Caenorhabditis elegans: one gene and its partners. The protein of the gene in region 3 interacts with the protein of the main gene of each other region in a pairwise test. Each region holds a gene or a part of one and is shown on either strand. Other genes may lie near its edges.

Evidence for each region.
Region 1: the proteins of lin-36 (region 3) and eps-8 interact in a two-hybrid assay, tested with the Caenorhabditis elegans proteins (3 studies listed by BioGRID).
Region 2: the proteins of lin-36 (region 3) and haao-1 interact in a two-hybrid assay, tested with the Caenorhabditis elegans proteins (3 studies listed by BioGRID).
Region 4: the proteins of lin-36 (region 3) and mua-6 interact in a two-hybrid assay, tested with the Caenorhabditis elegans proteins (3 studies listed by BioGRID).

The regions. Positions count from the first base shown.
Region 1 is NC_003282.8:14,876,936-14,884,119, reverse strand, and holds the start of eps-8 (SH3 domain-containing protein), read right to left. Parts: upstream 4,558-7,184; coding exon 4,505-4,557; intron 4,451-4,504; exon of another isoform or gene 4,430-4,450; intron 4,292-4,429; exon of another isoform or gene 4,271-4,291; intron 4,079-4,270; exon of another isoform or gene 4,057-4,078; intron 3,859-4,056; exon of another isoform or gene 3,838-3,858; intron 3,754-3,837; exon of another isoform or gene 3,733-3,753; intron 3,514-3,732; exon of another isoform or gene 3,493-3,513; intron 3,364-3,492; exon of another isoform or gene 3,343-3,363; intron 3,269-3,342; exon of another isoform or gene 3,245-3,268; intron 3,192-3,244; exon of another isoform or gene 3,171-3,191; intron 3,039-3,170; exon of another isoform or gene 3,016-3,038; intron 2,784-3,015; exon of another isoform or gene 2,763-2,783; intron 2,561-2,762; exon of another isoform or gene 2,537-2,560; intron 2,471-2,536; exon of another isoform or gene 2,450-2,470; intron 2,327-2,449; exon of another isoform or gene 2,306-2,326; intron 1,281-2,305; exon of another isoform or gene 1,260-1,280; intron 1,116-1,259; exon of another isoform or gene 1,094-1,115; intron 746-1,093; exon of another isoform or gene 725-745; intron 529-724; exon of another isoform or gene 508-528; intron 382-507; exon of another isoform or gene 361-381; and 3 more.
Region 2 is NC_003283.11:9,502,094-9,508,876, reverse strand, and holds haao-1 (3-hydroxyanthranilate 3,4-dioxygenase), read right to left. Parts: upstream 3,968-6,783; 5' UTR 3,867-3,967; intron 3,273-3,866; 5' UTR 3,189-3,272; coding exon 2,945-3,188; intron 2,682-2,944; coding exon 2,451-2,681; intron 2,409-2,450; coding exon 2,294-2,408; intron 2,243-2,293; coding exon 2,128-2,242; intron 2,080-2,127; coding exon 1,994-2,079; intron 1,949-1,993; coding exon 1,894-1,948; 3' UTR 1,759-1,893; downstream 1-1,758. Other genes in the region: acs-14 (4-coumarate--CoA ligase), read right to left, coding at 1-252, 306-417, 534-743; swt-5 (Sugar transporter SWEET), read right to left, coding at 4,436-4,552, 5,109-5,228, 5,344-5,406, 5,465-5,557, 5,608-5,731. UniProt on the Caenorhabditis elegans protein: Catalyzes the oxidative ring opening of 3-hydroxyanthranilate to 2-amino-3-carboxymuconate semialdehyde, which spontaneously cyclizes to quinolinate.
Region 3 is NC_003281.10:8,013,757-8,022,701, reverse strand, and holds lin-36 (Protein lin-36), read left to right. Parts: upstream 1-1,828; 5' UTR 1,829-1,831; coding exon 1,832-1,930; intron 1,931-1,986; coding exon 1,987-2,085; intron 2,086-2,160; coding exon 2,161-2,744; intron 2,745-2,845; coding exon 2,846-2,966; intron 2,967-3,041; coding exon 3,042-3,580; intron 3,581-3,681; coding exon 3,682-4,090; intron 4,091-4,213; coding exon 4,214-4,618; intron 4,619-4,684; coding exon 4,685-5,142; intron 5,143-5,190; coding exon 5,191-5,257; intron 5,258-5,472; coding exon 5,473-5,580; 3' UTR 5,581-6,054; downstream 6,055-8,945. Other genes in the region: F44B9.2 (uncharacterized protein), read right to left, coding at 1-239; F44B9.5 (Lipid droplet-regulating VLDL assembly factor AUP1 homolog), read left to right, coding at 6,165-6,288, 6,356-6,503, 7,059-7,328, 7,670-7,856, 7,901-8,056, 8,106-8,294, 8,715-8,813. UniProt on the Caenorhabditis elegans protein: Required to negatively regulate vulval development. Antagonizes Ras-mediated vulval induction. Acts cell autonomously.
Region 4 is NC_003284.9:16,260,610-16,268,525, reverse strand, and holds mua-6 (Intermediate filament protein ifa-2), read left to right. Parts: upstream 1-2,839; 5' UTR 2,840-2,844; coding exon 2,845-3,320; intron 3,321-3,541; coding exon 3,542-3,728; intron 3,729-3,783; coding exon 3,784-4,536; intron 4,537-4,714; coding exon 4,715-4,876; intron 4,877-5,820; coding exon 5,821-5,937; intron 5,938-5,994; coding exon 5,995-6,045; 3' UTR 6,046-6,237; downstream 6,238-7,916. Other genes in the region: Intermediate filament protein ifa-3, read left to right, coding at 1-46, 270-431, 818-934, 982-1,032; Serine/threonine-protein kinase sgk-1, read left to right, coding at 6,475-6,496. UniProt on the Caenorhabditis elegans protein: Cytoplasmic intermediate filaments provide mechanical strength to cells. Essential protein, involved in attachment structures in epidermal cells that connect muscles to the external cuticle.

The DNA of each region.
Region 1 (7,184 bases), on a different chromosome or scaffold from region 3:
TTATAAAAGCTGCCAATGCGGAATGTTGTCATTTTCCATACAATAGCTCCTTTTTCCTCTGTCTTCGTTATCAGTACCTCTCTCATTCTCCCTCACTCAACACCTACTCTCCTTAAACATCAAATCGTCGAGAGAGCGTGGAGAATGCGAGAGACGCAGACAGGAATTGGCGCCGAGCAGGGATGCACGTAACATTTTGGCATTTATCAGTTGGACGGACGGAGAAATCATATTTATATGTGTATGTACGAAGCTTTGTATAAAAAGGGGGACGGTGTTGGGAATTGAAGAGCTCAAAAGGAAATAAATTTGAAATTATCCGGTGAAACAGTGAAAATTGAAATTAAAAATTACAGTTTCACCACACTTATTTCATTTTTTGAGGGGGTCAAAACAAAAAATCGTAAAATTATTTGTTGAAACAGTGAATTTTTTTTTTAATTTCCATAATTTATAAACACGATTATATGCAATTTCATTATAGTGTTTTAATTTTTTTGGTTTAATTTCAAAAGAAGAGCGTCGGTATTGAACGAATCAGAAGGAGATTTTCAAAAATTATTCGTTGAAACAGTGAAAATTTTTAAAAACTTCCAAAATTAACATTACACAAAGTTACATCTATACAATTTCACTACATTAATTTTTTGGTTTGATTTCAGGTGCTTCAAAAAATTGTACATGTACATTTTTTCCTGGAAATTAACTTTTTTTAAATAAATGTAAGTGTTCAGCTTTCAACGAACTGAAGAGGTCAAAAAGGAAAATCTTAAAATTACTTGTTGAAACAGTGAAAAATTTTCAAATTTCCACAATTAACTTTTTCTAAACAATTTCATTATAGTGATTCAATGTTTTTTGTCTAATTTTAAGCGATTTTTTCTTTAAAAAGAGAGAAAAATATATAGATGTTTCATTAAGCAACTGGTGAATTTTAATTTTTTCAAACCATTGTCAAAGTAAGAAAAACGTAAAATGGTATGTATTTATCAATTTTTTTTGGGTTTTCTGACAAATTTTACAAAGGTTATGATTGAAAGTATATTATTACAAAAAATACAAATCAGTATTTTTTAATTTAAAAATTTATGCATGGAAAATACAACATTACGGAATTGGAGTCGCAAAAAGAAAACTGTTATATTCTTTTGTCGAAACAGTGAAATTTTCAGAAAATTTCCAAAATTAACTTTCATTTGAAATTTAATGGTATACAATTTCACTACATTGTTTTAATGTTTGTAACGATCCGCAGTCGATGAAGACATGCAAAACAGGGGTGTGCGGCAAATGGAAAAAATTGCCGAGCTCGGCAAATCGGCAATTGCTGGTTTTTCAAAATTTGCCGAGCTCGGCAAATCGGCAATTGCTGGTTTTTCAATATTTGCCGAGCACGGCAAATTCGGCAAATTCGGCAAATTTGCCGTGCTTAACAAACTCGGAAAATTTTGATAATTTTTGATGTTTTTTGGAACACCAAAACTACCGAATTCTTAACACACATCTGGTTTCTGAATTAGTTCCGTGTAGTATGTCTGCTTAAGCATAAAACTAACTCAATTTTGTGTCATTTTACTAAATTTTTGGCGAAAAAATCAATAATTTTAGTCAAAATTGTACTGTAAAATTTTTGACGTGTGCGGCAAATTTCGAAATTTGCCGAGCTCGGCAAATTCGGCAAATCTACTTTTTTGAAATTTGCCGTGCTCGACAAATCGGCAATTGCTGGTTTTTTTAAATTTGCCGAATTTGGCAAATCGGCAAATTTGCCGAGCTCGGCAAGTCGGCAATTTTCGGCAAATCGGCAAATTTGCCGCACACCCCTGATACAAAAACAGAGAATTTTTTAAGAGAGAGTCGCATTTTTCACAAAGATTTTTAAAAAATTTAGAAAAGTCCTATACATTTTCAAGTTGCGATCAAAAATGGAACAAAAAGAAGCTGTTAAGTTTTGCTTATTCAGTCAAACTGTTACTATAAAACATAAAATTCAAAAGTTCAAGAAAATCATTTAGATATGTAACCAAATAATATTCTGTGAAACCGTGATTACGATTTTAGATTTTAGGTAGGTATTTTCATTAGAAATTAGTCGAATATTATTTGGTTACATATCTAAATGATTTTCTTGAACTTTTGAATTTTATATTTTATAGTAACAGTTTGACTGAATAAGCAAAACTTAACAGCTTCTTTTTGTTCCATTTTTGATCGCAACTTGAAAATGTATAGGACTTTTCTAAATTTTTTAAAAATTCTACTGTTTTCACTTTGCTACATAATATGTGAAAAGTTTGAATATTGATGAATTCCAGTGAATTACACTTTTAAACAATTCAATTTTCAGGTTTTTAAGAATACAATAATTGTTTTTAAATTTACTTTAATTGCTTAAATTGATACAGTTTCAGGTTTCTGACTAAAATTTTCGAAAACTTGGACACTGCGATATCCAAAAAAAATTGTTCTTGAAAGTAGGGAAATTCTGAAACAGTTCCAATTGTGCAACAAATTTTTTTTTCAACATTTGAGTTATGTACCAATAAGATTGAAATCAATAATTTTTTATGGTGGAGGTAAAATTTAATACTACATTGAAACATGGTAAAATGTTGAAAATATTATACTTAAAAATTTGCACAAAAAATAAACTGTTCCAAAAAACAAGCACATGTAAAAAAGTTAGCTATATTGGAGTTGTTTTAAAATTTTTCACGGTTCCAAATGTTTAATATAAAACTTTAGAAACATTTTATCAATGATGTGCTTTCAAAAAAATGCAGAAGACAGGGAAACCATAAAAAACAAATTAGTTTCAACAGAAAAAATTATTTCAAACGCATTATCAGAGTAATTCAAAATCAACTTTTGAAATATTCTAATCATTATTATAGGGGGTTTCGCAATAAATTAACTTTTAAGGTGTTTAATATTGAAAACTTACAATTAAACGACTTCACAAAAAATCACTGTTTCAAAAAACTAATTTAAAAAATGCAAAAAGTTCATTGGCATTAGGAAAATCGTTCACATTCCAAATAAGTTTCCAAAACCACACCCAAAGAGGTGTGGTGGTGAAACAGAGAAATAAGATATTCATCTTGAAAACTAATTAATCAACTTCATTTCGAAAATTCAATAAATCCTGTCGAACTGGGACATTTCAACGGATTAATTGGTTAATTAATTGATTGAGTTATTCTAGAACATTAAGGAAGTCGTTTTGACTTTAAAACTGAAAATTTAAGAAAATTCCGAGAGCTTACTAATTTATAAAATCTGATAACGAATATTTATAAGGAAAGCGAAATAGTTAATTTTCTTAATATTTTTTTATTAACAAGTAATATTCTTCTGTTGATATTATGCTACCAGAAAATGTCAATATTAAAAAAAAACAATGTGAAACGGTCAAAATTTTGATATTCACATTTTTTTTTTCCTTTTTCAAGATTTAGATTTTTAAAGATTATTTTTAATTTGCTAAAAAAAAAGTTTAAAGTAAATTCTTTAACGGAAAAGTAAATTCAGAAATTAAATAACATGAATCTGAAGCAGTTATTTGTTTGTTTTTACTTCTTCTTTCATCCAGTTTAAAATTTTCTGATTAAAGGATTCCACCCCCTATGAAAGTTCGACTAAACTGACTTCAACCCACTTTTTAAACCGAAAATTGAAACACTCTACAGTTTCAGCATCTTCATTTAATTTTTCTAATTTTTATTGACTCAGTAAGAATGTTGCAATTTTCGGTTTAAAAAGCGGTTTGAAGTCAGTTTAGTCGAACTTTCATAGGGGATCGACTTCAATTTGATAAATGATTTAATTTGATCTTCTCATAATAAAAAGGTCAGCAGAACAATTCATTGATAAAACTTTGAAAATATAACATTTCTTTGAAACAGCGATATTTTCGATTTTTTTTTCTATTTGAAAAAAAATGAATTTTAGGGTATTACGAGCCATCAACATACAGAAAACAGCTCTAAAAAGTCGCTGGAAGCAATTTAGATTTAAAAAAATTACTTCAACAAAAATGTTTGAAGCTGTTTTTTTTTCATTTTCATCCTGTTTGAAATTCTGGTGACTTATTAAATTTCATTTAACATCTATTGCGAAATAGTCAATTTTTGAGAAATATTTCAGTCTCAAAATTTATTTGCAGTAATGGATTTTCAAATACGTTGAAGTTAAATTTTAGGTTAAAAAATTTCGCAAAAATTACCGTTTCATAACTTCTATTTCAAAAAAAAGTTCAAATATTTTCTAGTTCTGCTTTCCTTAGTTTGTTGAGTTAATTCGTCTCACACCTTTTAGATTGTCAGCAATTTTTAGAAAATTGACACAATTTTGGGAGTAATTATCAAATACTTGGATTTTCAATACAAAACAAGTTTAAAGCTTTAAAAACTTTATTTCAATTGTAAAATTTGACTATCTCAATATGTAATCAAATTTGCCTTGTATTTGTGTTTAAATTATTTTCATAAAACAATATACTAACCTCTGATATGGATCCCCGCTCGGTGGACCCATCGATCCACCTCGACGCATCATTTTTAATAGATGTTTTACACTTCTTCACTGATGATAAATTTCCTCGCTTTTTAAGCAAATGGCATTTGACTGGCTGAAATAAAATCAAATTTAATTTAACTTTAAAGTTATGGAAGAAAAATTGAAGCATTGGGTTTTCGAAAAATTGTAGTTGGAATTGGAAAAGTAAAAAATATATGACATTTTGAAAACCAATAAAAACATGAGAAAAGTTTTGTTTTATTTTTTGAAAAAGACTCAGAAAATCCACCGAGCAATGTTTTTAAAAAATCAATGTTTCTTATAAACAACGTGAAACAGGAAAATTTTAAAGTTTTGGTTTAAAAAATTAACGAAATGATATGTTACAATAAGGAAGAAATTTTCATTTTTAATTATAAAGTGGAAAACTTGAATTCAAATCTCAAAGTTTGGCTCCTTTTTCGTAACTGTAAGAAATTCTAATGAATTTTAATTTTCGTGGAAAGTTTTAGGAAAATATAATTGAAGTTTAGAAACAATTTTTTAATTTTAATTTGGAAACTAGAGTTAAGAAAGCAAAAAGAGAGTATAATGGGAAGTTTTACCATGTTTTATATAACAAATGAAAATAGTGAAAAATATTGTTTTGAAAATAACATCATGAAAGCGAAAGCAATTTATGTGAAAATTAAAATTGAAAATTGATTAATTATTTTTAAAAAAACTTGAAACAGTGATAATTTGTTTCAAAAAATTAACAAAAAGATTGAGAGAAGAGAACATTAAAGCGGCTAGAGTGAGAAATTGAGAGAAAAATCTGAATTTTAAATTAAAACATTTTCAATTCACTGATTTATTTTTCACTAAAAACTTTTGTGAATCTGGAAATTTTAGTGAATAAAACAATACTCGGAAAATCAATGATAAATTTAAAAACAACTAAAAATTCTAGCAATAGCTATACTCTTGAAAATCAAGTCAATCAGATCTGAAATTGAATGAAAAATATAGGAGTAAGATTTATTTTTGTAGATGTATTAACATGACAGAATTAATTAAAGTAATTGAGTTAGATTTCAAAATCAATTAAAAATCGTAAATAACTTGAAGCAGTGATTATTTTTCAGATTTACGAAGAAAAAACAGAAAAAGATAACTTCTTCAACTGAAGATTTTGAAAATTGAGATTGAAAACGAATCTGAACGAAAACCGTATATTCTGTGCTAACAAGTTACATTTTTGAAACAGCATAATTTTTTTTGAAACGTATACAAGATGGATTTTAGACAATTTCATAAAGAATTCGCCACCGCTTTTTTTTCTATATTTAGCAATAGGAAAAATTGAAATTGAAGCAATGTTGCAAAAACCCCTATAACGCTGAAATAAAGAGTGTGAAACTGCAGAAAATTTAATGCAAATTTTCATAAAATTTTCTGTAAGCTTTCAAGTTTTCAAACTACAAAATCCCTTTTTAAAAACATCCAAAGAAACAAAAGAAAATTGAATTTCGTGAAATTTTCCAAAATCTGTTGTAACTGGGGAAAAAGTAAAGAAAATCGAATCAAAGAAATAATAAGTATCCGGGCCCCAGCATTCTCTAGTTTTCCTTCAACTTTTCCTCCAAAATCCATCCATCTTCTTCTATTTCCACGCCCCAAAGGCGTGTATCCAGTAGAAACCGAAACAGCAAAAAAACTGTCGATTGAAAAGGTGGGAGAAATAGTATGGTAGAGGTGAGAGACACAGGTGGAGAGAGAAAGTAGATGGATTGGAATTGGAATGAAAAACTGGTTGGGATTTGGATAGGTATTGAACTTAAGCTCGGTTGAGAATCATTTGAAAATTAGGTTAATTTTGTTAAATTTACTGTTTCACTTGCATTACTTATTTTGAAATATGTGGGATTAGTTGCTGTATAAAGAAACACTAATTCGTTTTACAAATTCGATTTTACAAAAGTTGTGCAATTTTTTACTGTGCTCAAATTGTAGTTTGTAGTTTTAGTGAAAATATATGTTAAATTTAATTTATAATTTTCAGAAAAAAATAGCTGCTTCACTAGTAATAATTAATGTGTTTGGTTGTGATTTAGAAGCAATATTTCAGATGCGAGAATAGTGCGAAGATAGTTTTTTTTTCTAATTTGAAAAATTCTGCTGTTTCATATTTTTAATTAATTCAATGTTTTTTTCGAGAAAATTATTGTGTTTGCCGCGAGAGAGAAACGGATATGAATTTATTTGATAGAACATTCATTTAAAGTAAGAAATTCAAAATACATTACGTAATTAGTCATAGTAATGTACATTCCCAGTTCAAAAAAAGCACATCTCTGACGTTACAAAAATTGAGCAGCTGTTTCTACAGTCTATTTTTTTTCCAAAAAAAACAAAAAAAATTACCGTTTCAGTTCTGTTAGCCGCTTTAAAAGACAATTTGAAACAGTAATTTTTCATTTATTTAATTACAAAAATTAGTGATTGTAAATTTGCCAATTCGAAACAATTAGAACACCTGGAAAACAATTAGTAATAACTTTTCCCTCCCCAAATCGCTTTCAATTCCTTCCGAATTCCGTTCAATTTCCCACCACACATGTTGACCTCCTCTCACCCGTATTAGGCAACGGGGAAGGAGGAGGCGGTAATTTGTAAGTCAGTAG
Region 2 (6,783 bases), on a different chromosome or scaffold from region 3:
TCGAGTATGGAAGAACGAGTAAATCATTGTGAACATCAATTGGAACTTGTGGTAGAGCAGTGACTGGAGTTGAAACCACTTCATTCCAAGATACAACTCCTGCTGGAAGAGAAGATCCAACTGGTTTTGGGATGACAATGATCTTTTGGATGTTTGGCGATTGCTTCACAGCAAGAAGAACTTTTGGAAGAAAATCTTCGTAAGTAAAAACAACCTTTGCGCGAGAATCAACAAATTGACGTTGAAGCTCATCTGAAAACAGAAATTGCGGGTTGGTGAAAGTAACTTTCATCAATTTAACTTACAGTCAGTGAAAAGTGCACTAGCTCCAGATACAGCTCCACCGTTGATGGCACATCCAATGAAAAATGAAGTATAGTGCCAGACGTTTGGAAGAACAACAGCAGCAACATCTTTCTAAAAGATATCAAAAATTTAAGGCATTGTCTTGAACAAATTGAAAGATTTTTGAAATACTTCCTTTCTCTTGTTGAATTATAAAATTCCCAAATTTTTAACATAATGCCACATACCTTGAACCCAATGCTATGAAGATACATAGCGACAGCAAAAGCATCCTTACGAAGTTGTTCAAAAGTAATGAAATGTTTTGGATTATCTCCGCTCACAAATGCAATTTTATTCTTTCCATCGGCAATTGTTTTATCAATTGCATCAAGGAGCATCTCATGGTACGGACGCTCGGAAATCTTCACTGGTGGATATGTAGAGTCGTGTGGCATGGCTGAAGTTTGAAAAATAAATGAATTTAGCAATAACAATCAAAATATAAGAACTGGGCAAGAGGACAGCATGGGTAGCCTACAGTGTGGCCGAAGGTCAATTTAGAAAAAGATAGAGACTGATAAAGACGACAGTTGATAATAGTAAATAGGAAAACTACAGTGCTTAGACGTTATAATGTGGTCCATTTATTGTAGTCTTTGTTTTTTGGCAATTTATAACATTGATTCAACTGTTGAGGAAAAACCGTTAGAAAATTAAAAAAAAAACCACATGAGCGCGGGAAATACTTATCATTTCAGTTTCCGATGCTCATAATCCTAGACAATTTCAGTTAATACTCAATGAAGACAACGAAAGAAAAAGAATAAATGTACACAAAAAGGGCATATTAATGATAAGGGTTGCAAAACGAAAAATGGGCTATGAACAATAAAATAAAAGATCTGTAATCGTAATCAGATGTTTTTAAAGATCTGAAACTTGGATTGTACGTCATTGATCATATTAAAAAGATGCTCAAAACAAGGAAGTACTGGCCAAATTTCAACAATCAAAGTTCTCGTGACGATTTGACAGTAAAAAATGAGGTATTGTGAACATTTTCTAAATTATAGTTTTTTTCCAACCGAGAAGTTATTTTAAGTTATTATTTTCAATCTTCCCCATCAAATTTAAAAACAACCCCTTTGAAAATTACGGCTAAAAGGCATTTATTATTTTTCTGCTAAAAAATTTTCGGAATGAGTTAACGTTTTTTTTTCTAATGAAATAGAAATCATACTAAAAATAGTTATGTAAACTAACTACAAAACAAAAATTGGATTCTTTGTATTTTTAACCAATTTTACAGTTTTTACAGTGACATAATTTCCTGAAACGAACAACGAGGTCTGAAAGTACAAATTTTCTGAAGCTTTGAAGAACATGATGGTTTTGCTGAACCGACAGCGTGTGTTACACGAGACATTTGACATCGATGATAATGAAACGGAATTGATGTTATCAGTTGGCCACGATTGCATGTCATTCATTTTGTTATAAATCAAAATTGAAATTACATTTTGGAATAAAGATAGAAATATTGAAAAAAGCATTCATTCAATCAGCCTATATGGAAATTGACTTTTACAAAATTGAAAAAAAAAATTATGCTGGCATTCTGATGGTGATAGCAAATCCTCCTTTGACATTAAGAAGACACCTAAAACAAAATTATTTCAAAGAACCTATAATTCCGTATTCTTACTTTGTGTTCGGTTTTATCCTAACCATGGTCTCCGATTTCATTGCATAAGTGAACCCGCTCTCTTCTACGACCGCAAATGTGTTTTCCTAAATGATACATGAATTTTTTTTGGGATTTTTCTGTTTTTGCCATACCTGCAACCAAATTAGCAACTCTACAGTTCCACTTTCCAAATCATAAGATCCCTCTCCTAGCAACATAACTTCAGTTTTGTACTCAGGTGCTCCATAAATTCTCACTGGTCCGTTTCTGAAAACTTCTCAAATTAACTATCCGAAACAAAACCAACTAATTTCTTACTTCACTTCACTGATATGATCATAGATAAATTCTTTTCTATTAATAGGTACGGGTAAATCAGTCCATCTTGCTTCGTATGGAGCATTGCATGCAAATGTTCCTTTTCCTGGTTTACCTGAAACAAAAAATCGGTGAGCTCACACAACTACAAACCAACCAGTTTTGAATTCATTCGATCCATAAAATTCTTTGATTAATGGAGGTAAATCCTTGACAACATCAGTCAAATAGAACCATCTTTCAAAGAGTGTGATATTGGAAGAACCAACAAGAAATCGAACACAATCAAATTCAGTATTCTTTCGTTCACGTTCAACGACAAGACCAATAGAGTTGGAAAATCTTTGAGGTGAATGTTCTACTCTTGCTGGCAACATGAACATTTCCCCTGAAAAATAGAGAGCTCAATTTTGAGTTTTGATTCAGATTATCTAACATTTGTGAAAAAAATAATTCCAAAAAATTTTTGACAACACAGATTTAGTTTCCGTTTATAAATTGTGAAAAATTCTCAATTTTCAGTCTAAATTTTTTGTTCATGGAATTTTAATTTAAAAAGCTAGTTAAAAAGTTATCTAAGAAACCATGTGAGTTTGTGTTATTAATTAATTAATTTACAAATTCAAAAATAAATTTTGTGATGAATCCTACCTTGCTTGATTACTAGATCACGGACTTGACCCTTTTCAATCACTTTCAGTACCATATCCCCTTTTCTCTGGAAGAAAAACTCTTCTCCTTCTTCCAAATGAAAATCTTTTCTTTGATTTGGTCCTCCAACGTAGAAAACTTTCAACTGATCCGAGAACATACACTTGTTACAAACAGGTGGTACAAAATCCTCTTGATTATCTTGAATCCATTGTGGAATCTCAATTGCAGTAACTCCGCTCATTGTTATCACAGGTGGTTCTGCCAGTTTGAGTTGAGGCTTCTGTTGCTCTTCGGTAGAAACGGAAGTCGTACAGACTACTTGCTCCTGATGCGAAATGAATAATTTAGTGGAGGTGAAGCAACTCATCGATTGACAAGGGAATTAGCTCAAGACGAATTGGTAGAGAACTGAGAGATCGGGTTGAAATTGAAAAAAGACTGGAATATATGAATGGCAAGTAAAAGTGACATTTTGACCTCTATAATTATCACAAGAAACGAGAAACGGACAATAAATCGTCGAGAAATACCAATACAAGGCGTTCTTGGGAACGCTTTGAAGTTCAAAGGAACAAAGCATTCGTACCCACCTATTACAAAGTTATGCATGAGAACACATTTTGTAAGTAGTCAAGTTGCCAAAAATTGATTTTAAGCCATAAAAATAATCCTCAGATGCCATAAAGAGAATATGAAAATTTACATAATTTTGAGAACGGCAGTGAGTGTGTTCAGGAATTGATACGATTATGAGCTAAGTACAGTAATCCCCAGATGAAAATTTCGAATTCAATAGAATGTTCAGAGAGTCTCTAAAAGGTTTGGATGTAATAAAAGAGATTAAGAATAGATAATATAATAAACGAATGACCTTCTTTCATATACACCAATTAATAATATAACCTGCCATTCTTCTTACCTTCAGTTTATATTTCTCATATAAATATTGCAGTTTATTGGGTTTTTTGGAACATAAGTTGACACATTCCATCTCCGAAACTTCTCTTTTTCTAACCTAAATTATAAAGCTAAAGTCATAGACGATCGAAGAATTTGTCAATTCGATTACAGTAACATAGACTAAATCACCCACAAAAAACCGAAATTTTTCAAAAAATTGTATGTGGTTGAGACAAAGCGGTGTTAATGTCCGATTAACGCGACGAAATGATAAACGTGCAATGTCACATCTTCTTAATTTCGCCCATCTTCTTCTTCTTATTTCCGTTTTTTGTGTCTTTTTTACATTTTTCTTATTCTCGTATCTAAATCTCCGTGATTTGCTTATTCTTCGCTGATTCAAGTGTCGCTTTTCAATTCTTGATTAATGATAAATGTTTGACCGTCTTAAGGAACTGGTACCCGTTTATTTCGAAAAATTGAGAATTGGGAGTGGGAGGAGGAGAGAGAAGCAACATTAAATTGGTGTTGGAGAGAAAATTGATAGAAAACCTGAGATGCTTTGACCAAAACACGAAGCATTCTGGGTTACATGACTGTTGGAATTGGTGACGATTTCAAATTTTTCTTCTTTTTTTCCGTTGGATACACGAAGAACATCGAGAGAAGTGAACCATCCATACAGAAGAAGATCACGTTGGCTAACTGAAAAGTTGTAAAATTGAATTTAGGATTATCTTAACACATTTATTGGTGCAAAAAATTGTCCACATACTTGAAGTTAGTGTTTTACATCTAAAAGCAACGAATTTTCAAGAATGAAGCGTGGCCTAGAAACTGAGAAAACTCGGTCACTTTCAAAAAGTTGAATTTACACGTGGTGTCAGGCTGTCCCATGTCGGTTTGATCAACGTAGATCTACGAGAATTGCGGGAAATTAGACGCTGACTTCTCTACTGATTTAGCATGGTTAAGAGCGTGCTGACGTCACATTTTTTTGGGCAAAAAATTTCCCGCATTTTTTGTAGATCAAACCGTAATGGGTCAGCCTGGTGCCACGTTATTAAGAACTATCTCAAGAAATCTTCTCCGAAAAACCAATAGAAAAACTATTTTAAGTACATTACTCTCAATCTTCAGAGTGTTCAGAAAGAACCTGTGAAAATTAAAGATAAACCGCCGACCGAGTTTTAGATCTTTCTAGGCCACGTCGAAAATGTGACCCTTTGATTTGATAACAGTTAAAAAATTCCGAACAAACCAGCATGTAAAAATCATCAATACCAATACTATAAACGATCGCGTGGAGCTCCATTACCCACGTGAAGACCACTGGAGCCAGGGGTACAAAATCTATACATTTCGATGTTACTGCTTTGTACTGCAAAATGAAATTTGGAGGTATGGGGAATTGAACCCCAGACTTCTCGCATGCGAAGCGAGCGCTCTACCCCTGAGCTATACCCCCGACGGCTAAACGGGTAACTAGTACTTACTATTAGATACGGACAGACCAGAGACCCAGCAATTTGAGCGCCAGATGCGATGCGGCCAGTGAACTGAAAGAGACATAGAGAAATGAGAGTGTATATAAGAAAAAGGGACGCAGACACTCACTTCTTTCCCGTCTTCATCATTCATATTACCAATGTACAAGAAGAGTAAAGACAGAGCAGCTGCAATTCCAGTCATTAGACGAATTAACTTTCGCTGAAATTAAAAACAAATATTTAAAAAGAACAAGATCCAAATATAAATACTCTTTTGGTACGGTAGAAAATGAGTGCAATCACGAAGAATAGTTGCATTGAAACTGCATATGTCTGCAAAAGGATAAGCTTTGTGTCCCGAAGAAATATTGAATACCGAAGCCATAGTGCAGACCTGAAACTTTTGGAATTCGTTGTACAGTTTTATTATAGCAGCAATTACAGAACCATTACAGTAATCCAGTTTATTTTGTGAACTGAATACTGCAATATCGGAGAGTCGGAATAAAAAGAGAGGCAGAAAAAATTGTGCCCTGGCTTTGAAACGGTGATCCGACTATGCCATATTGCAGTATTCATGGAGCAAATGCTCTCTCGATACAGTACTTCATATTTAAGAGAAACACAATATGATATATTTGGGACGTGATTGGCCTATATAGGATCTTGATAGATGTCGACTGCGAATTCAAAAAAAGTTTCCCAAATGTTCGTTATTTAATGCCCAAGCTACAAGCTACGAAATTGGCAGAGTGACAATTATTCTATTGAAAAGTGTAGGTTTGAAACGTTATAGTTCTGTTGGAACAAGGCTTAAAGAGTGTAATGAATGATATAAGAAAACATGAGAGCTGAAGATGGAGATGGATCGACAATTTCCAAATAAGCTTGAGAAAGTTAATGAAGAAATAAAGTAACGTTTCACTTCAAAATTGTTTTTTATTAGATGCAATAAATGGAAGCTAGATGGCAAAAGATGGTATCTACCAAAACCGTATTTCTTTACGTAAATGCAAATCTGATAGAGGTGAAGGGAATTTTTCATATTGTTTACGCTGCCAAACTACTCATGATCTTCTAAGAAAATTCATGAAGGACATCTCATATTTCAAAGAAAAACTGATCTTGATTGCGGTGAAGGTGGTAAAGTAAAATGGTGAGAATTAGACAAGTTACTAGTACAACTACAACTTAAGTTGAACTTTGTACAACTATGAGCATTTCTTTGTTGTTTTTTATTTATATCCTATGAACACAACTCAAAAACGTGTGCAGTCGTACCACTTTTTTAGATTTTGTCAAGTTCGAAGTACTGGAATATCACAAAAAATAAACAACGTACAAAGTAAAAAGTCGGAAAACTAAAAAGTGTATTTAAGTACACACATTTTGCCTTATTTAAGTAACCAAAAACATATATTTTGATACATTCGTGGTGTCAGAAGT
Region 3 (8,945 bases):
GTTATCTGTGGGGCTAATGGAGCAGCTGGAGGAGTTGGTGGTGGAGCACTGATTGTGACTTCAGGTGGTCCATTTGATACAGAAATAGTTTCAACTGATTTTAGAATTGGTTTATCAAATGCATCACTCAATACAGGTGCAGCTTCAATGATAGTTGCTGGAGTTGTTGGAGATGTTGGAACTGATGATTGAGCTGTATCTTCACGAATCCAAACTATATCATCTTCATCGTCAGCCATCTAAAAATAGAAATTGTACTGAGTTTTGATGCTTCATAAAGTAGAAAAAGTATGCGAGATTGGTTTTATTCAAAAAAAACTCTTGTAGTAGTAGTGATATGGATGGCATGTTGGTTGTTTTGTTGGCAATAGAGAAATTGGCAGAACGACGGAAGAGGGTTTAGAGGCCATTTTTACACTGTTTTGAGCCCGCCTGAGTGAGCATTAAACACTGAATAGTGTGTAAGATGAAGATACGCAGAGTTGCACACGGACTTGATCAGTGAAATCGGGGGAGGAGAAGGAAGGGATCCGAGAGATTTTAGACTTGAGAAGTGAAGATAGGTTTTTGGAAAATTGACACCTGGAAATTTAAGATTCATGCATGAACATTTACGCGAGCTACAATTTATTGTAACTTGATTAAACCATGAAACAATTTTTTTACAAATGCTTCCCTAGAGAGGCCGGATATTAAAAGTACAGATGGCAGAAAACTTTCATTTGTGTGAGTACGGTAGTCTGATTGTTTGTTATTGAGTTTAAGAATTTTTCACTATTTGTTTTTTAATGTGTTTCTTGTCTTTGGGGGTTTAAGTCGACTCCCAATAAGAAGTTATACCGTAATCGCTTTTATGAAGAGATGTCTAATGACTTGTCATCTTTGAAATCTTTTGCTCGTGCTAAGTATTGTATTCAGACGAATAATACATTATAATTTTCGAAAAATGTAATCACTTCACAAGCCAGGGCAAGAATTGCGCTTCTGTATGAGCTGTCACCAGATTATGATTTTTAATTGTGTACGGAAGAAAAATTGAGAGCATCTTAAGAGGAAGATGCATCTTCTGAAATAATTTTTCTAAATAAAAATCAGAATTATTTTTCAGCATTCCACCCAGATTACGTGTCTGTTATAATCGTTTCTGGAAGACATTCTATTAGATACCGTACCCCGAAAACTAGAAATCCTATTTCTAGTTTTCGGGGTACGGTATCTAATAGAATATGAGTACCTGAGTAAACATCACTTACTATACGCATATGTTTGCTCAAGCTTCTACTATACCTGAACCTAGAGAAAACTGTCTTCCGTTCGATTTAATTTGGCAACGAAATGTTCCAAGCTTATGATGTTCCCGTTGTAATTAATTAATTCCCCTGCTTTAAATCACTTATTGTTAACGAATATGTACTTCTCAAACTCCTGGTGTTATCTCCGTGGTATTTTGGATAAATTGGTGTCAATCATTTATACAAATGACCTGTCTCCATATTGATATCATCAATTCAACGTCCCTCCAGTTCCAAGTCGCTTGTTCGGCGAGAGAGCGTAGCAAACGGAGAGACGTCATAGAAAAAGTACGCAACCGCGCGTGGCGGTGTTTGCGTACATCAGATGAGTGGGAGCCAGAATTGTACAAAAATTGGCCGGACAATTATCGATTTTTACACTTTCGACTCATTTTTCACTTATTATCAATGTTTTTCGTTATTATTTGTATCTCTTGAGCGTTTTAAACAATTAAATTCACTGTATTTTCTGTTTTTGTGCTCAAAATGTGTAGAATTTGCAAAAGAAAGGCTTTTCCAAAAATATTTGATTGCAGGAAATGTCGGAAGAATTGCTGAGTACTAGACCCAGTAAAAGGGATTATAATGATATTGAAGAACCAGAAGACTCACACGTGACGGTGCACTCAGTTGAACAGGTATGGTGATAATTGAGAAACATTCTCGCCGCTTATGAATATCAATGCATTTTTAGGATTCACAGCATTCTGGTGAAGAATCCTCAACTGTAGACGCATTGCAGGAAACTGAGGGTGATGTTGACGTAATAGGAGAAGATGAGGACGAACACGATGTACGTTTACATTTTCATTCTCGTATTAATGCATGTGCCCATTGGCCGGAATAGAATACATCATTTTATTTTCAGATTCCCGTAATGCCAACTGTCACATCAAGTGGTGAAGTTCTTGATGAAAGCCAAGTCACTCCAACTAAACAAGCTTCGTCGTCACAACCAAGAGAAGAAATTATCCACGGCAAAGGCGAAAGTGTCTACTCCAGTTTTCCGTGCCAAGTTATTCCGGAGACTTTAAGCCGAATGACACGAACTCCGCCAGATGGAGAGCATTTAGAAGTGTACCGGATGTCAAATGGGAGACTGAGAATATATGTTGTTGATCATTTCAAGAAGTTTTCTCCATACTCCAATTTGACTCATAAGCCATGTACAGTTTGTAATCGAGTAATGAAATCGGGAGAGATGCATCTAAACTTCCCAGCAGACTTGGATAGGCGCAGAATTTGGGCAAATTTGCTTGGATTCAAATACAAAGATATTCTTCGCAGTAAAATGGGTCCTGTATCGTTTTCAATTGCTGCCGGTCCAATTTGTACTGAGCACTTCGCCGAGGAGTGCTTCAGGAATCACAATTTCAACAAATCTGCCATCGAAGCTTTTGGAGTTCCTGTTGCTATTTCACCAGACGTTAAGACGACACCGAGTAAAAAAAGGTAAGAAGAAAAGCTGGTTCTGCTCGAAACGAAAAAGCTTGTGAATGAATATGTTAGCTCGATTTTTGGCTAAAACATCCTCTTTCACGATTTTATAAAAGTTCCAGAGTGCCATGGGTCTGTACCGTATGTGAGTTCCACTCGTGCAGTGTTGTCGAGCTTCAGACACATCTTCTCAATCACACGGAGGAAATGCTCAAGAAAAAAGATAATGTTTTGGATGTAAGTTCAAGCTTTTTAGTTAATACTCTTATTTTATCACATAATTCTTATAACAAAAATTAATATTTTTCACAGGTCCCAGAAGCTGGCTTCATGTGCCCATTCTGTAGAAAATGCACATATGGTTACAAGACAATATCTGGATATCGTCGTCACTTGAATGCTGGCCCCATTCATCATTGTCATCTTCGTAGAATATATGAATTCGCTAAAATGAACTGCCGCGCTACTGAGTTGGATCCAGCGGAAAGCTGGGATAACTGGACTCGTCGCAACGTTTATGTGGCATATCACGGCTGTGAACCACCAGCAAATGAAATCGTACTCACACCTTCACCAACGAAAAAAGCCTACGTGCAAAATCCAGAAGAGCGTACGAAAATGGTTCACGATGAAGAGAAGAGAAAGAAGGCAGTGAGGACATTATCGTTTGTTGGAAAAGAAGGTGGTACAAGTGTGAATGATCTGAACGTAATGCAGCGACAAGTGTTTCTGCAATTGAGAAGAGAAGCAGAGATTAATACAAAAGCAGAAGAATCGGCTCAAGGAACGAAGGAGCAAGAGAGCAGTCAGAAAAAACATGCAGAAGAAGAGTCAGACGATGTTTCTGAACTGTAAGTTTTGTCAAAAAATGTTCGAGTTAGAGAACATCCTGCGTAACGAAATTTAAAAAATCTTACTAAATGGAAATCAAAGAAGCAATTAAATTTTTTAGAACTTCCCATCAGTCTCCACAAGCTCCAATGGGATCTGGTGAACGACGTAAAGCAACACGTCTCGCAACTTCCGCTACAAATTCACCAATCAAGAAGGTGGCAAAACACGAAGTTCCTGCTACAGCTCCATCAACTCCAGCTAAGAAACGGAAAATTTCACACGAAGAAGAACACGATCCAACTCCTGAAAGTGTAGAGAGAGAACCAACAGTTTCACCAAATGATCCACGTGAACGTCTTCGTTTGAAGGAACGAGATGAACAATTTGCCAAAATGGTTCAGAAAAGATCTCAGCAAGTTAAGCGATTGATCAATGCCAAACAATTCAAGAAACAAGAAGCAGCAACGAAGAAGCCGAGAAAGGCCTTGGCTTATAATTTGGCCAAAGGGATCGCTGCTACTTCTTCGGTGAGTTTTATTTACTGAATTTATTAAATAATAGATTAGAACTTAATTTGTAACTTTTGAAATTCCTCTTTTACTTTGTAGCATGTTGAAATTCGAATTACTAGGATAATGTTTTTTATTCAGACGGAGCCAGAAGACAAAGTGACATCTTCGGAGCAGACACCAGAACCGACAACAAGTCAAAAATTTATCGCCAGAAATACACGATCGAAAACTAAGGAGAGTGCTGTTCAAAAAGTTGAAAAACCAGCAACTCCTGTCGCAAAACCGGCACCAGTAGAAAAAGAGCCGGAAGAACGCCCTCTAAAATCAATGCTCGCGAGATCTTTTGTTGCTGGAGTTCGTCCTTCGATGGCTAAATATCAGATTCCATTAGAATCGTTCACAGCTACTGCATCACTTGGTGGAGGACGTTCATTATCTTCTGGAGTCATATCAAGACCACCAACTTCATCCTCTCCTGGCGGGATCTTTTCTCAAAGAGTTATGGGAGCTGTTGCACAAGAAAAAGGGCCTGCTAAGAGACCGGTAAGTTTAATATATTAGAATTATTTATTAGGAGACTTTGATATTTTTTCTAATTTATTGCTTCAGAGTGTGCTCTCCCGAAGACCACTGATCCTTTCACCACGAAAAAAAACATCAACTCCACGACCAACACTCTCCCATCACGAGTCATCGCCAAACTTCTCAGCATCTTCTCCGGTGGTTGTTTCTGATGAGTATCTGATTCCAGCAACGGATATGGAAGTTGAAATGGTCGAAGAAGTCATTGATTCTATGGGAAACTCATCGTCTGAAGATGTTGCCACTTCTTCAACATCTTCCGAGAGGCAACCGATGCTTACGCTGGCAGAGGCTCTTGAGATGGATGGTTCAAGTGGAACAGTTAAAGATCAAGATATGGAAGAAATCTCAAAAGAAATGATGAAAGATGCTCATTACTACAGAGCAATGGAAGACGCTATCAAATGTCGCACCGTGACGAAAATGCGCGCTGACATGAGACTTTCCCGTCATTGCATCCGGCAAATTGAAGCTGCGAGAGCCAGGTGAGCCCATGGGAGGTCTACTTTGATAAATCGTTTAATTTTTTGCAGAGCTCGTCTGTTTGGCGAAAGGACTGAAGATTATCAAATTTTCTACTCTAACGATGGAGCACAAGTGGTATGTTTTTATTAGTTTCAATTCTGAATTTTAGTAACAATTTTCGTTTTTTAAAAGATTTTATTTATGTTGTTCTCAATTTGAAACCATTTGCTTTGAAAAAATTCCGATTGAAACATCAAAAATCACTGATCACAACACAATTTATTTTAAAAACATGTTTTCTCCGCTATTTGGCGTTATCAATCAGTTTGTTTCATTCTTATGATTTTCAGCTCACCAAAAAAGATCCAAAATGGCGTGAACTTCAACAACAACAACAACAACAACAACAGCAGCAAGAACAATTTCCAGGACAAGGATCATCGGATTCTCAACAATAATTATTTTTAATTATCAAAGAAAGTGCCTCAAAATTCAAGATTCAAAAGTCAATTGTCCTTTCGAGGATCGCCCCACATTTCTTTCATGTGAACTATCTCTGTTTTATATCCACAGAAGTTATCCCATTTTACTTTCATTCGAAATTCTTGAAATCTGATAAAAACTCCGACTAGGATAGATTTTCGTCTAGATTTTTAGGATTTTCACATTTACTTTTTTCCCATTTTTTACCCCCCCTCCCCCCTATAATTTACTTTCCAAAATTAATAGTTTGTTTTACTTTCCATAAGCCCCCGCCCCCTCCCCAAAAACCACACTTTTTCTATCATAAATTAATCTGAATTATTCACAAAAAATGAGCCAAAGTCTATTTAAACGTTTCCCTAGTTTTCAATTACATTCAAGTTTGAAAGATATGTGCGTTTGTGTGCCAAATATGACTAAAAGTCAATAAATAAATGATTTTGCTTGGTAGGTTTTTGAAAAGAGTTTTCAGATTATTTTTTCTATAGGCTACCTGATTATCCATAACATTATATTTTGAAAAAACCATGAAAAATTTAAAAAAATCCTAAAATTTAGAATGGCATCACCAGAAGCATCGTCTTCTGGAAATACAGAAGATCTTCGTATCGAAGATTTATTCCATCAAAAACGAAATGAAGATACGATTGCTAAAATATTTTCGATTATTTATGCTCCAGTTGGTGAGATTTTTTTCAAATTTTTTGACACATTCCAAAAAGTAAAAGTTTTAAAAAATCAAAATTTCAGGTTTAATTATTCTTTTAATTCGTGTTTTCCTCGGTTTCCACACATTTATTGTTGCATGTCTACTCAGAAAATCTGCTGCTTTGAGAATGCACACTCTTCGAATTATGTGCTCAATTCTCGGAATTGTCGTTGAAAAATCTGGTCACAGGTTTGTGATTTTTTTTTTGAAAAATATTTGATATCTCCAAAAAAATAGAAACAAGTTACTGAAAAATTGGAAGCTTGCCGTATTGCCCAGGCGCAAATTTTTTTGCGACTTCTGTCCCAAAAGTGAGGTACCTGGTCTCGAAATGACAATTTTTTTGTTAAATACAAAAACATGTGCGCCTTTAAAGAGTACGGTAGCTTTAAAATTTCGTTACTGTGGATTCATTGATTTTTCATAGTTTTTCTTACGATTTTTGTTAAAATCAATGTGTTTTAAGTGTTATTTTAGTTTTAAAAATTTATTTTAACGAAAAAACTTTGAAAAATTGATTTCAAAAATTCCGCAGCAACAAAAGTTCCATATATCCATTTATATTTTACAAAAAAAAAGTTTTTCAAGACCCGGGTGCTGTACTTTTTTTGCAAAATGAAATTCGGTAATTTTTAGTGTATCTAAAAAAAATTAAAAAAAAAAGGTCACTAACTATTCCTTAAAATGTTTTTTGCTTGCCGAGATATTCACAACTTCTTAGTATTAAAAAAAAAAGATTTTCAGAGATGAATCAGCTCGAGTTTTGTGCGCCAATCATGTATCAATTCTTGATCATTTAGCAGTTGATATTCTTACTCCATGCCTTCTTCCATCTGTTTGGGATATTCCATCGATTATTAGATGGTGTTTTGGATATGTAGATTTGGGAGCAACACGTGGAAGAGATCAACTTGTCAGTAGAGCCAAACAACTACTCACCAGAGAACAAATGCCACTTCTCGCATTTCCAGAAGGAATTATTACTAGTGGAGAAAAGGCATTGATCAAGTTTAAGTATGTCATTTGAACTTTCCAAATATTTTGTGATTTCGATTTCAAGATTTTTCAGCTAAAAATATGGTTTGTCACTACAAATTTGTGAAAAAAAATCTAAAAATCTTTTTACGCATTTTCATCAATTTTTCATAGTTTTTTTCATAAAATATAAAATTCACATTTTTAATGAAAAACTATGCAAAATCGATGAAAATTCAGCATAAATTAGGATTTTAAATTACAGTACTCTTTAAAGGCGCACACTTTTTGTCGGATAAAGAATTGTCATGTCAAGACCGGGTACCGTAGTTTTGGCGCAAAAATCATGAATCTCGAACCCAAATCTACTAAATTTTCAGTACTTGGTGTTTCGAGGTGTCTTCAGTAGTTCAACCCGTCTCAGTGCGTGTGTGGCGTCCGTATCCTTGGAAAGTTTCAGTTTCAGTATTGGGTTCTTCATGGTGGACTGATCTTTTCTATTTCTTTGCACTTCCGTTTACTGTTATCACTGTCGAATATCTTCCGAAAATGGAAAGACGAGAGAATGTAAAGAAAAATTGGAATTTCCAAATAAAAACAATTATTTCTAGGAATCACTCGAAGAATTCACCGCCCGAGTTGCCGAAACGTTGGCTGGAAATTTGAAGATTGCAGTGTCAAAGTTTGGAATTTCGGACGCAACAGAAGCAGCAAAACGGCTTAGAACAGATAGAGAACGTGCGAAAAAAGTTGTCGTTAGAGAGAAGGTATTTGTTTCCAATAATTTGTTTTCTTTAAAAAATGAAAATTTTCAAGACTTCACCTAGACTTGCGGATCCTCGTCAAATGGACGAATGTGCAATGAGAATCAAACAATCATTTCCATCATTCCATTTATCTGCAATTCGACGTGATTTGGAGAAAACTCGTAGTCAAACTACAACTGTTAATAATTTGAAAGCTGGTAAAATTTCATCATCAGCATCGGATGGTCAAACTGGAAAGGTTAGGAACTACAAATTCGATGAATTGCCCAGAAATACTGAGATTTTTAAGCCTAAGACTACTGTACCCGGTCTCAACACGACAATTTTTTGTAAAATACAAACCGCCGTGTGTCTTTAAAGAGAACTGTAATTTAAAACTTTCGTAGCTGACAGAATTTTCATCGATTTTCAGTTGTTCGACACAAATACATTCATTTATTGGAAAAACTAAATTAAAACAATAAAAAACATAAATTTTAATAAATCGTGAGAGTAAATATGACAAATCGATGAAAATACCTCAGCTACCAAAAGGTTGAAACTACAGTACTCTCTAAAGGCGCACATCCGTTTTGTATTTAGCAAAAACTGTTGTGTCGAACCCAGGTATCGTAGTTTTGACATTAAATATGAAGAATATCTAAATAACAATTTTCAGGTTACATTGGACGCTGGTACGTGGCGTGGAGTATTCGACAATCGAAAATGGCAGATGATCGAAGTTAATCGCCAAAAATACATGAACCGCGATTCTTAAATTTTCAAATTAGATTATTCGATTTTTCTTTGGATTTTAAAACCTTTTAGTCATCATGCCTTGTCATTTCCTTTGCCTGTTCGATTAATTTATTGCATATGCTTTGTCTATTAATGAAAAAAAAACGTTTAT
Region 4 (7,916 bases), on a different chromosome or scaffold from region 3:
CAGAACATCTTATCAACGTTCCGCAAAGGGAAATGTATCCATCAAGGTTAGAAAAATTTTTATAATTGTTAACACTATATCCAAAACAGAAAAAGTACTCATTGGATGGAAAATAATTCATTATCTGCAAAATTCATTTTGTTTAAATCGAAAGTTACAGGATGTTTCTGATTTCGAAGTTGAAATCGTATCTCAAAATTAAGATTGAACAAAATTTAAAATTTGATATTTTCTTCTAATTGCATTAATTAATCATTATTTATTTTCAGGAAGTCTCCCCAGAAGGCAAATTTGTCATCTTGGAAAACACGCACAGAGACAAAGAAGAGCCACTCGGAGATTGGAAGCTGAAAAGAAAGATTGACGGAAAACGCGAGATCGTCTTTACTTTCCCATCCGACTATATCCTCCACCCGGTTCAAACTGTCAAGGTTTGTGAAATTTTATTGAGAATTCAAAATTATATCTAACAATTTGGAAATGTTGGATATAAAACATTTCAAATTGGTGTCTCAGAGTGAAATGTGTTACTGTCATTTCTGTGTGTCGAATTGATAATCTGATGCGCACTGGGGTGTGACAAGGTCATCTGAAAATGATGAGTGGACTTTTTCCTGGCTATGTAGCAAAAGATAGAAGACTGGGAAGCATCTAGTTATGTTTTCTGAAACTGATATAATCTAATTTTTCAACAGAGAAAAACATCAAAAACAATTAAGAACCAGAAAAAAGTGATGTTTCAAAAAATTTTAGCGACAAAAAAATTAAAGTTTTTCAGGCTGCATGCCAAACTGTCAAAAAAACGGTCTATTTCCAGATTTTCGCCCGCGGGAACGGTGTTGCCAATCCTCCAGAAGTTCTAGTTTTCGAAGGTGACGACACATTTGGTGCTGGTGCCAATGTTCAAACAATCCTCTACAACAACAGTGGAGAGGTAACTCAAGCCAAAATTTCAAAAGTATTTAGAATCTTTTTTTGCAGGAACGCGCAACACACATGCAACGCCAAAGCCAACAGACTACAACTTCATAAATCTAACCTTGCTCGGATAACAATACGAGAAATTTCCCCATCTTAGTTAATTTTTTCTTCTTATTTTCAAGCCGAAATTGTACGGAACCGTAATTTTTTATTTATTTCATGCAGTATTTTGCCATGACTCAATTCAAATTTTCATCCATTCTTTGTCTTTCAGTTTATATTTTTTGATCTAACATTGAGCGCCATTTCATTATGACCTAAACTACTTCTTACTAATTTTTTATTCACTGATTTTCGACATCTAAATTTATATGTTTTAATATATTCTAATAAACAACAGTTAGTTGATTCAGTTGTAAAGGTGGAATAGCGCCAGTGGGGAATGTGTCAAAAACCACTCCTATGGTCTCAAAATAACCAAATACCATGATAAAACATTTCAAAAAAATTGGAAAACTTTTTATTTACTGTCAAAAAGTGACAATTGCTCAGTTTCTGCCACTCATAATTTTGGAAGTCGACCAAAAAAAATTTTTTTTTCTACATATTTTATAATGCAATTTTATTTAAATTATTCGTATTAAAACATTGTAGGGGTCGAAACATGCGACATTGCTTTGGGTTTCCTTAAAAGACTCATATTTTCAAAATTTTGGCAATTCTCCTCGTGGTTTTGGCCTATTATAAGTGTATTTAGGCAAAATCTCCATTTGCGCTACTTCACCTTAAAGTTTATTACAGTTATAGCTTGTGCTTATTGCCTACCTAGGAACAGTAGAAAATTAAAATTTTCTTTGTTTCTTCTCAAATTTTTTTCACTTTACGGAGAAAGAAGTAGTTAAATCATTTAAGGGAGCTGATTTCAAATTCTATTTATATTCCTTTTTTAATTAACGAAAACTAGAGCACAAATATTAAATAAGACTATTGGCTTTTAATTGTTTTGATTATTCAAAAATAACAACAAAAAAAACCAAAATTCATGTTGCAGCTAGATCGGTGTAAAAAAACTGTAGTTCTTTGACTAATTACTTTTTGAAACTAGTTTCTTCATTTTGAAACTAAGAACAAACATTTAAGAAAGTTTCCTTTGAAGTTTGCCGAAGTTCAATCACTAAAAATCTTTTTTGCTGTCTCTTCACATTTATCTAATCATTTTAATTCGAGGCAAGTGGGTGAATTCTGACATATCTATCACTTAATCTATCAATTAGTCACCTCGAATCGAATATTTGAATAGAATATGTAACAGTTAAACTTCACAATCTCTCAAGACGAATAATCATTAATCAAAACCACACCCAATCGTGTTTTAACTGACTCCTGACTCATCTGGACGACACCCTTTTCTGGTAGTAGAACAATAATTCACTTACGGGAACATGTCCATCTTCGTCACTTTTGCAATCACCAATGGAGGCGGGGATTGCGAATGGATAAGTGGTCAGGAAAGAGAGAGAGAAAAAAAACGATAAATTGGAGAAAACCGCTCCCTTCCATCATCTTCACTGCGCCGCCCATCTCCAGCCCCTCCCGATCCGCCACCTTCTTCGTGTACAAGAAATGTTGATGGGTTGGGAAGGAAGAGGTGAGGCAGTTTTTATGTCGCCCTCCACCTCCCCTCCCAGTTTTCAATTTCTCGATTTACTTATGTAGGTGTGGTTAGTTATATTCTCAAGAGGGTGTGTCTCGGGTTTTGTCATTTTTCTCACATTGTCCCTGAATTGCTATATTTTTTTGTTTCTAAGTTTTCATAAAACAATTCAAATTAGACAATCTGATTGTTTCAACTTCTCTCTATTTTCTTGCTCCCCAATATATTATAACATAGATTTTTCTAACAATTTAAAATTTTCAGACATAATGACCGATCCAGATTCCTACCGCAGCTCCATCACCTCTCGCCCATCATTCAACCGCACTGTTACCAGCAGTAGTCAAAACTATGGAGCACCAGGATCAGGGAATCGTGTGCTGAAGATTGTCACCGAAACTCACTCTTCCTCAGTTTCAAGTGGACTCTCCCCATACGGACAGAATGCTGCGTCCACCATCCGAGACAACCGTGAGCGTGAAAAGAAAGAAATCATGGAGCTCAATGATCGTTTGGCTAGCTACATTGAGAAGGTCAGATTCCTTGATGCTCAGAACAGAAAGTTGGATGCCGATCTGAAGATGCTCCAAGGAAGATTTGGAAAAAGTACCGGATCTGTGAAAGTTATGTATGAGATGGAGATCACCACTGCCACCAATGTTGTCAAGCAGACAGGAAAGGATCACGGAGAGACTGAAAAGGAGATTCGTAAGCTTCAGGATCAACTCGACGAGTTGCGAAAGAAGTGAGTTTAATTGAGATGAGAAACCATAGTAAATATGAAAACCGTAATGATTCGTTTATATTGATAATCTGCTAAATCTGGATCCTATTCTGGAGAGTTTGAGCAATTCTAGCCATTGCTCCAGTATCACTCCGTTAAGAAGTTGAAACTTTGTATATCCTATACCATTAATACCGGTCCCGTTTATATCTAACAAAATTCACATTGAATATTATTTTCAGGTTTGAAGAGGCCCAAAGAGGGCGTGCTGAAGATCGTTTGAAGATTGATGATCTTTTGGTTACCCTTTCCAACCTCGAAGCCGAGATCAACCTTCTCAAGAGACGCATCGCCCTCCTTGAGGAAGAAGTTGCTCGCCTGAAAAAGGAAAACTTCCGGCTCACATCTGAACTCCAACGTGTTCGCATTGTGAGTGACTAAATCATGAAGTATTCGGAAAAAAAGATACAATTTTTAATTTCAGGAGCTCGACCAGGAAACCCTTCTTCGTATCGACAACCAAAACAAGGTGAAGACTATTCTGGAGGAGATTGACTTCATGAAGAGAGGATTTGAGACTGAGCTCAAGGAGCTTCAGGCTCAAGCTGCTCGTGACACCACTAGTGAAAACCGCGAGTACTTCAAGAATGAACTCGCTAATGCTATGCGTGACATTCGTGCCGAGTATGACCAGATCATGAATGGAAACCGTAATGACATGGAATCCTGGTACCAGTTGAGAGTTCAAGAGATCAATACTCAATCCAACCGCCAAAACGCGGAGAACAACTATCAGAAAGAGGAGGTGAAGAGACTCCGCAATCAAACTTCCGAGCTCCGCCAAAAGCTTTCTGATTTGGAATCAAGGAATCTTCTTCTTGAGAAACAAATCGAAGATCTCAACTACCAGCTCGAGGATGACCAAAGATCCTACGAAGCTGCCCTCAATGACAAGGATGCACAAATCCGCAAGCTCCGTGAAGAATGCCAAGCTCTCATGGTCGAGCTCCAGATGCTCCTTGACACTAAACAAACCCTTGATGGGGAGCTCAAGGTTTACAGACAAATGTTGGAAGGTAATTCTGAAGGAAATGGGCTTCGGCAACTTGTCGAGAAGGTCGTCCGCACATCTGCAATCAATGAAGAGGCTGACACCGAAACGATGCGCGTAGTCAAAGGAGAACACTCCAGCAGAACATCTTATCAACGTTCAGCTAAAGGAAATGTGGCGATCAAGGTGAGGGATTTATTTTCAAGTTTTTTGAAAATTGCTTTTTCGCTAAAATAAAGCTTTGACGTTCAAAAATTTAAAACTTCCAATGGCCATTGACTGTAGTCACTAATAATATCATTCCGACATAAAAATAATCAATTTATCACTTAGTACATACTCAATAATGATAATTTCTTTTCAGGAAACCTCCCCAGAAGGCAAATTTGTCATTTTGGAAAACACACACAGAGCCAAAGAAGAGCCACTCGGAGACTGGAAGCTTAAGAGAAAGATCGACGGAAAACGCGAGATCGTCTTCACCTTCCCATCCGACTACATCCTCCACCCATTCCAATCTGTCAAGGTTTGCGAATTTCTACTTCTTTCAGAAACAAGCCTAGCTACCCAGGACCTGTCGCGTATAAAACATTTCAAATTGGTGTCTCAGAATGAAATGTGTTGTTGTCTCTGTGTGTGTGTGTCGAATTGATAATCTAATGCGCGATTGCGTTTGGGTGTGGCAAGGTCATCCGTCCGTAATGACTAAAGGGGGGGTAACTTTGCTTCGAAAAAGAAAGATTGGGGATGTATGTAGGAGAAAAAGAAGGAATAAAAAGTGATAAACAAATTGATGGAAACTGTGAAGACAAACGTTGTTCACAGAAATCAATAAAAGGGACAGATGAGATGTGAGATTATTTAGGTCAGCTTTGAAAAAAAATGTTTTCAAATAAGGTTTGAATAAGAAATGAATTTGAAAGAAGCAATTATTTATTTAAAAGGTGGAGTAGCGCCAGTGGGGATTTTGTCTAAATGCACTTATAATGATCCAAAACAACCGAATATCATAATAAAACACTCCAAAATTTTTTTTAGATTTTTCATAATTTCCGGTCAAAGTTTTGGCAAATTCCCAAAAAATTTTAAAATACTAGCTTTTGAGGAAATTCAAAGAAATGTCGCATGTTTCGACCCCTACAATGTTTTAATACAAACAAAATTAAAACATAAAAAATGTCGAAAAAAAATTTTTTTTTTGATCGACTTCCAAAATTATGAGTGGCAAAAACTGAGTAATTGCCACTTTTTGACAGTAAATAAAAAATTTAAAAATTTTTTTTGAAAAGTTTTATCAAGATGTTTGGTCATTTTTGGACCAAAGGAGTGGTTTTTAACAATTTCCCGACTGGCGCTACTCCACCTTCAATCAATTTCATACAAAACATTTTTCATAAAAAAAAAAGAAATTCAAGTGAGGTGTTTTAACATTAAAAAAACCACTGTAAAGACAAATTTCTACATTTCCAGATCTTCGCCCGCGGACAAGGAATCGCCAATCCTCCAGAAGTGCTCATTTTCGAAGGTGACGAAACATTCGGTGTTGGCGCCAACGTTCAAACAATCCTTTACAACAATAAGGGAGAGGTAATTCAACCCCCAAAAATTTACGTGCAGAATAAAATGTTATTTTTTTCTTTGCAGGAGCGCGCGACACACATCCAACGTCAAAGCCAACAAACGACATCTTCCTAAATCTAGCTTTTTGCTTGAGCTATTTACTGTTTTCTTCTCTTTGTACCAGAAATCTGAACCCCAACTCTTTGCTGCCTGCCTGTTTGCATTTTTTCCGTTTGCTATATACTTTTTCACTTTTTTGTTTCTTTTTCCTCCGGTAACTTACTCATTTTCAACAATAAATACTTTATACAGATCAAAAAATTGCCATATGGAATGTTCATTTTTCATTTGAAACATTGATAGGAAAAGTAAGGTGGGGAAATATTAAAGGTGATAACGTGATCAAGAGCAAATAAGAAAGTCAGACGAATGGCTCGGTGAGCCGTGATAAGAAGACAAGGTCCAACCCAGCGATTCTAATCAGTTAACACGAGACAAGATACATCGAAAACCCACATTCGACCTGGTGGCGGTTATTCTAAATACGAGAGCATTACTGTGACAATGGGCAGCATGTATTATAATGGTGAGTCAAAGATTAAACCTGGCTGGTTCTGTGAAATGTTTGTATTTGTTTTAAGAAATTCAAAATCTGAAATGTCTTAAAAGTCTCAATTTTTTTAAATGGCTGATAAAATTTTGAAAACCTAGCTCTTCCAGATAAAACCTAGATTTCTGCCAACATGTCACAGTTGCGGCGGTCTGAAAACATTAGTTGATGGGTGCAAAAAATACTTCTTACTCCTGAAAACAACTTAATCAACGAAAAAAGTCATAACAATAAATATATTCATTAAAAATACATAGAAAAACAGAACATTCAATAAAATTTAATAAAAATCAATTTTGGGTAACTATGACAAACATAGGTTGACAAGTTAAAAATGTAGTTTTTTGTATTTTTTATTTTTTTCAGAAATAAAAATAAATTAAATTCGATATTTTGGGGTCATTTTGACCCAATTAAAAAATTAATCCAAATTTCGCTACTACACCTGTGAGAAGTTATCATAAATTTTTTTTAAAATGTGCTTTAAATGTGGAGTAGCGCCAGTGGGGGAAATTGTCAAAAACCACGCCTATGGTCTCAAATTAATGGAATATCAAAATAAAACTATTCAAAAAATTTTTGAAATTTTTTTTTTACTCTCAAAAAGTGACAATTATTTAGTTTTTACTCAAAATTTTGGAAGTCGTCCGAAAAAAAAAAGTTTTTCTACATTGTTTATACTGTGACTGTGTTTTAATTATTCACATTTAAACATTGTAGGGGTCTAAACATGCGGCCATGCTTCGGATTTCCTCACAAGCTCATATTTTTCGAAATTTGGCCATTTGCCAAAACTTTGACCGGAAATTATGAAAAGTCTAAAATTTTTGCAGTTTTTTATTATGATATTCTGTCGTTTTGGATCATAATAAGAGCATTTAGACAAAATCCCCATTGGCGCTACTTCACCTTTAAAATGCAGATAGATCATTAACTCAAACATAAACTTACTAGTTTTGAATTTTCATTATGAATTTAGATGTTTTTTAACAAACCTATAAATGCTCACAGGAAAATACAATGCATTAGGTTTTCCAAGAAATTATAATATAATGAACTCTTTCTGAAACATACTTCAGTCTTCATGATTTCAAAATCAAATTTTCCAATTCTGACATAAAATAATCCACTGGTCAAACGTAATGATTTGATAACGCATTTCTGTTTGACAGCTTAATTTTCATTTGAACTTTCATTTTCTGAAATCAAAACTGAATACGTTTTTTCAATTTATTACGTTTTACTTGTGTAGTATTAGAACTACAAAAAAGGTTTGCAATGGATTAAAATAATTATTTTTTATCATTGTGCCTATTTTGAGAGTTTCAAATAATTATTTTTATGCTTGAAAAAATAAAAAAATAGACATTTTCATTCATCTAATTTTTGAAATTAA